3 linked regions of the Sus scrofa genome follow. The protein of the gene in region 2 binds, or shares a complex with, the protein of the main gene of each other region. Links are inferred from orthologs where the notes say so. Each region holds a gene or a part of one and is shown on either strand. Other genes may lie near its edges. The genes, in order: EAF2, CDK9 and EAF1.

Region 1 (3,541 bases), on a different chromosome or scaffold from region 2:
TAAAAGATATTATACGCTATTGAAAAGTTTAAAGTAGGAGAGACAAATTATATTTGAATTATGAAAGTATGGATGCAATGTACTTAGTGGATAAAAAATGAGTTTGAGTAGATAAGGGGTGAACCTGATAGGAAATCATTGCATAGTTAAAGTAATAAATAACGGTTAGGTTTCACTAGTGTGATAGTGGTAGAGTTGTAGAGAAGTAGATCAATCTGAGAATAAGGAGGTAAAATAAACAAGATGGCGAAGGATTGACTGTACTATAAAGAGGGAGAGGAAGTCAATCCTAGAATAAAATCAGGCTCCTGCTTTGCATAGCTAGGTAAATTCTGACTTTCGTTAGGCACACAGTTAGCCAAAGATTATAAATTTATTTTTGATAAAGTGAATTTGAAATGCCATTGAATATGAGATGATATTGGACTTATGTCTCTGGAGCTCAGAGGTTTAGGTCAGAGATACAAATTTATAAGTTATCTGTACATAAGAATTGACTGCAGAAAAATATGGAGGAAAGCATATGGAATAAGAAAAAAGGACCTAGAATTAAGCCTTGAAGAACTCCAGCTCTAGAGACTGTGTGAAATATTATAAACCAGAAAAGAAGAGACAGAAAAGCATCTAGAAAGACGAGAAAAACCAGAAAGGCATTCTGTCACAGAGGCGAAAGAAAATGAATAATTCAATAAGAAGGTAATGGTTAAGACTGTCAGATGAATAAAAGAAGTCTTTCTCTTGATCCAAATTTTAAAGCATGATCAGTATGGATCCACTGTGAATTCTACTTTTCCGATTACTCATGCTTATGTATACTTACTTAAAGTATTCATCATAAGGCCATTGTCATAATATTTATTTCGACTGGCATCAATCTCAGGAGTCCTGCACTGTGGCATGGCAGACATGGTAGGATGTTCCGAGATATAATTCCCTGGATCAGGAGAGGATCTGCACTCTTCGGCTTCTGAATCACTGGAACTATCCTCACTACTTGAAGATGATGAACTTTTGGAATCCGATGAACTATCGCAACTACTCATCTGGTCCATTAGACTAGCTTCTGCCTTCAGTTCTGAAAATAAAATAGAAGTCAATAGGTTAAATCAATAACATTAACTGTAAGTATTAAATAAATATAATAAAATTTGAATGTGTTAGTTTCTAATAAACCGTTGATGAGGAATAAATAAGACTAAACATATATTTACATTTAAAAAGCTTCTTTCCTACTCAAAATGAAAAGGAAAATCCCTCTTTCTACTCTCTCCTCAAATTCCTTTAATACTACTCCCCAGGAATAATCACTCCTAACACTTTCTTGTGACCGTATATGTTTTCAAATTCTGCTTGGAAACTGGCATTTTAGATTTTGACACCCAATTCATCTATTATTGGAGCTCAAGTGTGCTCTTTGTTACCACCCAACCAAGATTTTTTTAAAATGGCAGCTTTTCTAGCAAAAGTTGCATCTCTGGACTCAAACCTTTCTTTCCCAGCTCTTCTCTGGTAGTACTTCTTTCTCCTTGTCCAATTTATGGACAACATACACACATAGTCCACAGACTTCCCCACCAAAATAAAAGAAAAAATCTCCTTTACCATCAAGCCAAGCCACATTCAATGTTGGGATTGTGAAAAGTATAAGACATAGGCAATATCTAAATTTGAACACTACATTTACTTATACCTTTATACTTAAATACACACGTAATTCAAATAAAATATAAAAGAGAATGTGAACATTTTAAATTGTAAAAATTAAAATCTATATTGATAGAAACCATCCTCTAATTCTTTTCATTCCTCAATACATGTAATGCAACACTACATACACAGACGAATTTTATCAGCTTTATTGAAGTATAATTGGCAAAAATTTTTCATATACTGAATGTATATAACTTAGCGTTTTGATGTACATATACACTGTAAAATGATTACCATAATCAAGTTACTTAACACATAACCTCACATTAGTTACCATTGTGTGTGTGTGTGTGTGTGTGTGTGTGTGTGTGTGTGTTTTGGTGGGAACATGTGTCCAAGTTAGCCTGATGTTGCTGGATACACCTTTGAATATGGGGGAAGAATGAACCTATCTGAAATGCCTTCTGTAGGTAACTTGGGGGTCGAGACATGTTGGGCCTGAACTGCCATCTTCTGGGAGGGAGAGATTATAAGATGCCCTGACCATACTGTTCCCCTAGTCCTTCCTGGGGTCCCTAACCAGATTACCTTCCTCTTTCAAACTTTAAGGGTTCTCCCTTGGTTGTCTCTGTGTTATTTCCAAGGTTTATAGTTTCATGTAGTTGGGAGAAGCATAAATAGATAAGTCTATGCCATCTTGTCCCACAATACATTTTAAGAGGTTGAATTTATACAGAGTATTTTATCTACCAAAACAAAGCAAAAGTAAAAATTTCATAAATTGAACCTAGATAATTTCCAAGTATTTGCACACTTCTAAAAAACCCATGGTTCAAAGAAGAAATCAAAAAGATTTTAGAAAATACTTCTAAAGGAATGAAAATGAAAAACACAATTTATCCAAATCTGTGGAATACAACTAAAGTAGAAAAAAATAATGTATTGGGGAAATAAAAAAAGTACAGTCTGAAGAGAAATTTAAAAACTTAAGTGATTATATTGGGGAAAAGAGAAGATCTCAATTAAATGAGCTAAGCTGTACCTTAAGAAGATAGAGAAGGAAGAGCAAATTAAAACTTAAGTAGAAGGAAAAAAAACAGTAAAAGCCAAAAACAAGACAACAGAAAAAATAGTGAAAATAAATGAAACCAAAAGCTGATTGTCTGAAATAAATACTGTTTATAAAACTCAACCAGGTTCATCAGGAAAAAAAGATACTAGACATAAATTATTAATATCAGAAGTGAAAGAGGTGACAACACTATAGATCCTACAACATTAAATGAATAGGAAAGAACACTGTGAACTACTTTATGACCATAAACGCAACAAATTAGATGAAATGGATCAATTCTTTGAAAGCACAAACTAACTCAAGTTAGCTCAAGAACAAACAGAAAACCTAGATACCCCTAAATAATCTTAAAAAAACTGAGTTGCAGTTACAGCACTCCCATATCCCACACATAAATCTCCAGTCACAAATGACTTCACTAGTGAATTCTATCAGTCATTTAAGGAAGAAATTATACCAGTTTGATACAAATTCTTCTGCATAATTAAAGAAGAAAAAACACTTCCCAACTCATTCCTTAGGGCCAGAATTACTTATATAAAACACAATAAAGACATTACCAAAAAAAGCAAACAAATTAATATTCTTATAAACAAAGATGCAAAAATTTTAAACAAAATTTTAGTAACTCTAATTTAATCATATATAATAGCAGTTTTCAACCAGGTATGAATTTGTCATCCAGGGAGAAATCTGGCCATGTCTGGAGACATCTTTGGTTACCACAGCTGGCGGCAAGTGGTGAAGGCAGAGATATTGGTAAACATCATACAACACACAAAGACAACCCAGGGCAAAAAATCATCCAACTCCAAA
Region 2 (4,308 bases):
CGGAAGAGGAGCTCAGCTCTGAAAGGTTCAGAAGCCTCGCCCAAAAGCATTGACCTAACCGGTGATGGAGCCGGTGAACACAGTCCATGTGGCCCCAAAGAGCAGATTGTGACCCTCCGCCAGCCACCTCTCCCTCTGCTCCCCGCCCTGCCCCTCCTCTACCAAGGAGAGGTCTGGATCTCTGCAGCCTGCGGGGCCCAGACAGCCTGGCGACGCACCTCAGGGGTGATGGAGCCACAGAGCTGGCTGATGAGGGCAAGCTGGTGCTGCTCCGTGTTGCCCTGCATGATGGGGCTGCGTGTCCACATCTCCGCCATGATGCACCCGGCACCCCACAGGTCGATGGGGGGGCCGTAGTCCCGCTCCCCTGAGAAGAGCACACCAGGAGGGCCCCTTGAGCCCGGCCTCCGGAGGCGCGGGGCCCCAGGGCCGGCAGCTCAAGAAGCCCAGGCAGGGGGGAGCGGAGGCTGGCTAAGGGCCCAGCCTCCTGCCCCTCCTAGGCCTGCTCAAGCGTCCTCACCGAGCAACAGCTCCGGGGGCCGGTACCAGAGCGTCACCACACGGTTGGTGTAGCGGTTGGGCTGGCTGTTCTTGGCAAGGCTGAAGGCCCGGGCCAGCCCGAAGTCGGCCAGCTTCAGCACCCCGTCGCGGGTGATGAGCACGTTGGCCGCCTTCATGTCCCGGTGCAGGATCTGCGGGAAGCACACGGGCGGGGGTAGCCAGGGGCCCTGAGCCGCACCCACCCCGCACGGAGAGCCCAGGCCAGCCTGGGTCTCCCCCCGACCCCCGACCCCGGCCCCCACCTTGTTCCTGTGGATGTAGTAGAGGCCATTGAGCAACATCTGCATGACCCGCTTGATCTCCGACAGCGTGAACTTGACTAAGACGTTGCTCAGCAGCCCGGCGAGGTCATGTTCACAGAAGTCAAACACCAGGTATATGCTGCCTTTGCAGCGGTTATAGGGGGAAGCTGAGTCAGGAAGCACGAGGGAGAAAGAGAGGGGTGGGAAAAAAAAAAAAAAATCAAAAACCTCACACGCAACTCATCTTCCCACAACCAGCTCCTACCCCCTCCAACCTATGGACAGTGGGTATGTGGCTGCCCATTCCTGCACGGGTAAAATATTTTCTGAGTGCTTCTCTGGGCCGGGCGCTGTGGCAGGCCCTGGGGAAGCACCTGCTCCCACAAAAGGACCCGGGAAAGCAGTTGCAGGTGGTGTGTCTGGGTTAAGAAGAGGCAGTGAAGTGGGTCCGGTTCCAGCTCCGCCAGCAAAACCTGAGGCGAGAAGCCTCATTCTCCCCACCTGAAAACGGAGGGCAAGATCCAAACAGCTTACCTTTGGTTCGACAGATCTCAATCAGGTTGACCACGTTCTCGTGTTTTAGGAGCTGGAGGATCTTGATTTCCCGCAAGGCCGTGATGGGGAACTGGGTGAGAGAAAGACAAGGAGGTCAAGAGCGGGAGAGCACACTACTGACCCAGGAACTGGCCATGGGATCCACAGTAAGGGTCGAAGGTTGGGAGACAGAGTCAAATCGTGGGCTCTGAAATGAGCTGCCTCAGATGCCATATTTAGAACACGGGCATACTAGTAGAAAGTACCCCTTCGGGAGCTGGTTTCAGACGATGACTTGAAGTTTTGCTACTTCACACAAATGCTTTATGACTAGCCATTAAATGCTGCACGGTTTCTTTAAACTCATAATGTAGAGCTCTGCACCCGTGTTTAACCTGTTACATGGTTAACAAGACAAAAAATAAAGAAGCAGGTCTTTGGGAAACTGGACTAGAGCTACGATGGGGGGGGGAGCATTTCAATTGAATACCAGTTACTCTTTTAGGGCTATGACATATGATTTTTTTTTTTAAACATTCGACAAAAGTAAAGCCCAAAGGAAAAGTGTTTAAAAACTTCCTAACTTCAGGAACCAGGGTGCACTCAGTGCAAGCATGAGCTCCCCCTCCTGGCACCAACCACGTGCACCTGAGAATGAAACATCAAACTCTTTAAAACATTTGAATTAAAAGATTTAACCTGAAAGTCAGATTCCATAGAACACAGAAATTCCTAAACACATAAATTCAACCTCAGCATGAAAGTCCCAGAAGCAGGGTGGAAACCCAACCTCTGCCCAAGGGACCTAGCAGGCCTGCCCACCCGCCCCGTACTCACCCCCTCCTTCTCGTTCTCCATCAGTACCTTCTTCAGAGCCACCTTTTGGCCGGTCTTGCGGTGCTTTGCCTTAAACACCTCCCTGCAGGCCGAAAGGGGGACCCAAGAGGACTCTTGAGGCCGTTTCCGCAGGGCCCGCCCCGCCCCCACCAGAGGAGGGCAGGAAAGGGAATCCCGGGCGGGGCTGGGCCGGGTACAGAGGGCCCTCGGCTACACCAACGCGCGGTATCTTCGGTCCCTCTCCGAGCCTCTATTTCCTTCCCTTTGCCCTTTCTCCTCACCCAGGCGCCGCTGCTGGGAGAGATCCCGCTCCACTCACAGGCTCCTCTCTGCAACCCCTCCCTGCCTCCCATCAAGGGCCTCAGGCTCCTCCCCGCCAGCCGGCTCGGTCAGGCACGGGCGGGCTGCGGTGCGGCCTAGCGAGACCAGGGGACAAGTTTGCGGCTAGGTGGCTTCCCAACCAACTGGACACGGGCCTGGGCGTCTCGACATCGGTCCAGAGGGGTGCAGGCTCAGGGCTCCTGGTCCCTGGGGGCCCAGCCTTACCCGAAGGTGCCTTGGCCGATTTTAGCGAGCTTCTCATATTTGGTCACCTCATCACAAAAGGGGCACTCCACCGAGTCGTACTGCTTTGCCATGGCCGCCTCCAGTGCGCCGCCGCCACCTCCAGCCGCCGCTGCCGCCGCCGCTCCCGCTCCGGGTCCCGCCGCCGTGCTCCAGGCCCCTCCGCGGCCGCGCCACTTCCGCCTCCACGGCCACTTCCGGCCCCGCGGCGCCGACCCCGCCTCTTCCGTCCGCCGTCCGCCGCCAGGCCCCCTGGGACTTGTAGTTCCCGGGAGGCCAGGAGGAGCCGGAGCTGCAGAGGCGCCTCCGCCACCGCCGCTGCCCCCGCCTCCGCCGCCGCCAGTGCTGGCGGCGGCCCCGATCGGGGGCGCGGGGAGCCGGGGCGCCGGGGCTGGGGCTCGGGGTGGTGCGTCCCGCTGCATCGGCTCGGGCCGCCGCTGCTGCCGAAGCCGCTGCCGCTCTGGCGCCCGATCCGGGGCCAGCCGCAGTGCCCTGCTCCTCCTCCTCCGACGGCGCCGCCTCCGCCAGGCTGCGCGGGGCGGCGGGAGGGGGGCGCCCCCCAAGCCTCGGCCTGGGGGCTCCCTGGCCGGGCCCGGGCCCGGGGCGGCCGGACGAGGGGGCCAGACGGAAAGAGCCGACGAGGAGGCGGCCCGAGAGCCCGGGAGGGGGCGCGTTATAAAGGGGGAGGTGCCCCGGCCTCGCCCTCCCCTCCCCCTCCGCCCGCCCCCTCCCTCCTCCCTCCCACCCTTCGCGGCCGCACCTGCCGCCGCTGCCGCCGCCGCCGCCGCCGCCGCCACTGCCGCCCGCCCGCCCGCTGTCCGCCCGCCGCCCTCGGCGCGTCACCGCCCGCGGCCCCTCCTCCGCCTTCGGAGGTGGGGCCCCGCGCTCCACACCTGGCTGCTGGGCGACTCGCCGCGTGCCTCAGTTTACCCACACATGCCAGCAGCTTCAGGGAACCCCTTCCTTCCCAGCTCCGGGTGCCCCCCTACAGGCAAAGGAGGGAGGCGCCGAGGAAGCAGCCTCGGGTCCAGAGAGGAGAGAACGGCCCCCACCGCCCGCCTCTCCGGGCCCCCGCCGGCCGCCGTTGATATGGCAACCGATGGCCGCCAGGGGGCGCGGCGACATTGGAGGCGGCAAGCGAGCAACTCCCGGGCCCCCTATTCTCTGGGAGGCAGGGATGAGGCCCAGGACCCCCGTCCCAGCTGAGCTGTGCCCAAGATGGTCGTGCCTGGGTCGGTAGTCACAAAAGTAGCCAGCATTTATTCGACAACCCTTGTGTGTTCAGCAAGTGCTGGGCATTCCTGCGGAATCCTGAATCAACAGCCCCATAAGTTAGGGTCACTAACCCATTTTATAGAAGAGCACATCGAGGCTCAGAGAGGTGAAATCATTTGCCCGAGGTTACACAGTGACAAAGCTGGGACTCGAACCTTGTCTGTCTGAATTTGAAAAGGATTCTCTGACTCAGGCTATTTACAGTCTGTCCAGGAGTATAGCAGTGGTACTGTTTGAGGCCCGCTGTCCATGCCAAGTTCCAAGCCCACCATTCACCCATCTCCTTCTCTGGCTC
Region 3 (4,285 bases), on a different chromosome or scaffold from region 2:
CGGATCGTTAACCCACTGAGCAAGGGCAGGTATCGAACCCGCAACCTCATGGTTTCTCATGGATTCGTTAACCACTGCGCCACGACGGGAACTCCAACAGTGTATTTCTAAGGTACAAAAACTTATGAAGCGTTTTGACAGGCTTCATATATTCTCTACCTCACACTGCCCGTGAGAATGCAATAAAACACCCCTCTTCCACACATTCTTAATGAAAGACAGTTCAAATAAGGCGTAATATTAGTTTACCTCTCTACAAGATCTGAGCTCCTCAAACTCTCTGGTGGTCCAGTGTCTATCTTTGAAGAAATTAGTGCTATTTCTTTTGTAAAAAAGGTCCCAGTTTTTCTGAGCCTCTTTTTCCAGTTTTTGCTGTTTAAAATCAGACACTAAAGCCTGGTCTCTTTTCAGTTTTTCCTCTTCTTCAGAGCTGAGAACCCTTGCCTGCAGCCCTTTCCTTTGCAAAGAAGCCATCTCCTAAGTTGATGGTAATATATTTAACACTGCTGGATATTCTCCCTTCGCGAATAACCCGAGAAATTCAAGCAGATACTACACAGGCAGAGTTTTCTCAGATGCGGCCCCTCTCTTTGGGTTCAGGCCTCAGGCAACGTCGGGTGTTTTGCAGGAAAAAAGAATGAGATTCTGGTTGGGGGTTCTGGAACAGTTTTAAAGATGCTGAGTTAGTGGTTCTAACACAGTTTTTTCACCAAACAGTTCAATTCACCAAATGTTTACTAGTGGCCGACCCTACACAAAACCCTGCCCCGCTATAAGAAAAGAGGTCATAAAGAAGACCCAGACACTGCCCTTGCCTACAGAGGGCTGACATTCAGCTGCCAGGGCGCTCTCACGCATAGAACTCTAATTCAAACCTGAATAAGTCAACTATTATAATAAATCGCTTTAGTTTAGAACAGAGTCACTCCCAAGAACTAAGAAACCTTTGGGGGAAGATACTCGTCAATGTTCGGTGCCCGTGAAAGGGGCGACTTAACAGCTGCCGGTACTGGAGAAGGGTGGTCAATTCACAGACAGAAGCAGTGTCACCGTTTCCAAGGAACACGGAGCTAAGCCTGGGAGGCCTCAGTCGCAGAGTTTCACGAAGCAGAGGGGCGTCGCTTTCCAGGAACTGAGGCCCTCGCGCAGTCGTCCGCGCAAAGGGAAGGAAGAGACCCAGGGACGCGTGGTGTGGGGTTCCAGGACACCGGGGATAACCTGGCCGCCCGGCCACGAGCACCTGTGAGCGCTTGTGAGGAGCCCTGTTCACCGAGACCGCCGCGCGCCAGCGCCCAGTCTTCAGTTCCTAGGTTCCCCTGGAGGGTGGCGCCGGGCGCGCTAAGCCCTCACCCAGGCCCAACCGCGTGAGTAGAATTTGGGAGCCACCGCGGTAAAACCCAGCGGCTGGACAAACCAGTCTGCAGCACCTCGCATTGGGCTTCTCCCAGCGGAGTCTTTTTGCCATGGCACCGCCCCCGCCACTTCCGCTTCGAGACCGGAAGTCCCTCCCCGGCGCCGGAAGTTCCGCGGCCCCGCTTCCTCACAGTTGTCCCCCGCCCCGACGCGCACGCCAGGACTTATTTCCAGCCGCAGGTGGGCACCGGCTCGGTTCTCCGCTCGCCCCGGGGTGCTGTCCCGGGAGCGCTGCTCCCTCGAACTCAGGCGCCGGCAGCTCCGGCCGCGGGCGCGCCAGGAGGGCGCCGGGGCGGGCGCGCGGCCCGTGCGGGGCCATGAACGGGACGGCCAACCCTCTGCTGGACCGCGAGGAGCACCGCCTGCGGCTTGGGGAGAGCTTCGAGAATCGGCCGCGGGCCTCCTTCCACACCATCCGCTGTGAGTCCGCATCCCGCAGCCGCCACAGGCCGACCTCGATCCCGTAGCCCGGGGAGCCTGCCAGCATCAGTTCCCTTCCTATCTCCCCGGATCCGCAGGGACATTTTGCTTTTTCCCGGTTCACTCTTCCCAAACAAGACTTTTCGTCCCTCCCTCCTGTTCCTCTGCCTCGTGGTCCCAAACACGTCTTCCAAAGACCATTGGCCCCCTTTCCTGCCAGGTCCAGCCCTCCCGCGTGCCGAACCTACCCCTCTTGCTGCCTAAAGGTTGCCGAGTCCACATCAGGGTTCAGCTCGTTTCCCTAGGCCCCCCACTCCACCACGACCCACTAGGGGATCTCCACGATTCAAAGATTTTTCCCGTTTGCTTGGGAGCTGCCTCCACTCTCTCCTATTCCATTTTCTTCTGTTGTCCTCACTTTTCTCGTATGTTTTGGTTCTGGCCGCCCTAACGCCGCGCTTCATCCCCACTGCAAACATCAGAAACCGCATTCCCCTCTGCGCCGCATCAGTCTTCCTCCTCCATCTCTTCGTGCCAGCTTTTCGTCTGCCTTTGAGGTTACCTGGACTACCCCGACTTTTCCTCGGGACCATGTCCCTTGTGGGTGAGGAATAAAATTGGAATTTGTGAGCCAAGAATAAGTTACAGCTTGGTCTATGTTTGGAAGCAGAAGCAGCAGACATAAGGAATGTGAAAATAGTCATTATGCTGGGTCTCCTTTTTCTCCTTGATTACAGACTCTGTTGAGGGAGGGCCCTTCTACTCTGTGTCCTGAGTAAAGACTTGGCTGACTGAGCATCTCTCTGATTCACAAACTCCTGGCTTCCCATCCTGGTAGCCCTAATGCTGGTTAAGACTTGTTTTTCTGAGAGGAACTCTCAGAGGTGACTCAACACCTTGGAAGAGGGTGTGTTAGATAATGATGTTCTGTCTTCATGTGGTCACTTGCACCGTCATTCCTCTTCTTCCTACTGACAGCAGATCAGCCCTTTCTGAGGGAGGATATTGAGGATGTGAGGGAGCGTCATTTCCTGAGGAGGTTATTTGTTGGTAGCGTGAAGGAAAGTGAGGAGCTTAAGAAAGATACTTCAAAGAGGCACCTGGCCTGCAGGTTGAGGCAAATGTGTGTTAAAAGTAAGAGTGCTGTTCAGGTTGTGCTTTAACTGCAATCCAGAGACACAGGCAGGATTAACCTTTGGAAATACAGTTCAGCGGTCATCCCCAAACATCTATAGGCGTGTCCTTATTAAAGCTATGGAACTTGAGTGTGGCAGATCCTAATGTTGACAGTTCCTATGCAAAATGAAATCAGCGCATATGATGCTGTAGCTTTTCATTTTTCACATTGGGTTTTACAATCACAGGATTTAAAAACTGTGCTCTGTTGCTTTTGATCCTTGTAATTACCCTAGTAAAACATTCATTATGAATAAGGCATTAATTTTCATCTGTCACTTGAGAGAGGGGAATATCTTTGCTTAATAAAATAGTATATACATTCTAGCTTTTTTTTTTCTTCAAAATAATCCAGTGGAGATGGGAGGAAAAGTATGTGGAGGTATAGCTGCAACAAGATTATCTTGGAGCTGGTAATTATTGAAGCTGGGTGGTGGTACACAGGAGCTCGTTGTATTGTTCTCTCTGCTTTTGTGTATGAGAAGTTTTCCACAATGAAATACTTTTTTAGAAACTCCTAACTGGTTTGTATTTTCCATTTATCTGAGTCATAAAAAATTTCAATTCTTAAGTGAAAATGCCCCAGAAGCCTTTGCTTAGTATTAGTAACCTGGTAGATAAATGTTTTTTTCCCTTTCCCTTTAGATGACTTTAAGCCGGCATCTATAGACACTTCCTGTGAAGGAGAGCTCCAGGTCGGCAAAGGAGATGAAGTCACAATTACGCTGCCGCATATCCCTGTGGGTTTTATTCCATCGTTGTTGTTTCTAATGTGGAATCACAGTGGATCTTCATATTCTACATTATTGCAATTTGATTTTCCTCCTGTTTAAGAATGTGTAGATTCCTAAAATGCCAGTTTGGGGGATGGAGTGGGATAGAATTCACATTTCCCATGTACTTGAGTAAAAATAATTCTTTGCCATTTTCCCCAAGCTCCCTTTTTCTCCATTTATTCCAGATGTCCTATGCGGACAACTAACCCCTCCTTTAGATGTTGTTTAACCGCCCCCCCAGCCCCTGCCCTGCCCCCCAGCAGCTATAGAGAGAAAGACCCAGGCACCTGGAGGATGTAAAGTGGCAACAGCTTAGGAGCATGGGGAGGGAGGGCGGGGTCAGCCTGGTTCCTGTATATGGCAAGGGGTGATGTGCATTCTGGTAGCTTTCGGCCAGAACCAGAGGTTCAGAACATTCAACTTATTTAGGGGCAAGAAACCCAGTTAAAAGCTGAAGGGAGAACTTTTGCAGAGAGACTCTTTCGAAGCTTTGCCCAAGG

Evidence for each region.
Region 1: CDK9 (region 2) and EAF2 share a complex: the UniProt entries of both Homo sapiens proteins name them as parts of the super elongation complex. The link is inferred for Sus scrofa from reciprocal best matches to the Homo sapiens genes CDK9 and EAF2.
Region 3: CDK9 (region 2) and EAF1 share a complex: the UniProt entries of both Homo sapiens proteins name them as parts of the super elongation complex. The link is inferred for Sus scrofa from reciprocal best matches to the Homo sapiens genes CDK9 and EAF1.

What each region holds. Positions count from the first base shown.
Region 1 is NC_010455.5:138,650,594-138,654,134, forward strand, and holds part of EAF2 (ELL-associated factor 2), read right to left. Parts: intron 1,076-3,541; coding exon 821-1,075; intron 1-820. UniProt on the Homo sapiens protein: Acts as a transcriptional transactivator of TCEA1 elongation activity. Acts as a transcriptional transactivator of ELL and ELL2 elongation activities. Potent inducer of apoptosis in prostatic and non-prostatic cell lines.
Region 2 is NC_010443.5:268,275,587-268,279,894, reverse strand, and holds the start of CDK9 (cyclin-dependent kinase 9), read right to left. Parts: upstream 2,813-4,308; coding exon 2,721-2,812; intron 2,257-2,720; coding exon 2,175-2,256; intron 1,429-2,174; coding exon 1,338-1,428; intron 971-1,337; coding exon 804-970; intron 693-803; coding exon 521-692; intron 368-520; coding exon 219-367; intron 1-218. UniProt on the Homo sapiens protein: Protein kinase involved in the regulation of transcription.
Region 3 is NC_010455.5:2,653,366-2,657,650, forward strand, and holds the start of EAF1 (ELL-associated factor 1), read left to right. Parts: upstream 1-1,463; coding exon 1,464-1,833; intron 1,834-3,654; coding exon 3,655-3,749; intron 3,750-4,285. Other genes in the region: METTL6 (methyltransferase-like protein 6), read right to left, coding at 250-474. UniProt on the Homo sapiens protein: Acts as a transcriptional transactivator of ELL and ELL2 elongation activities.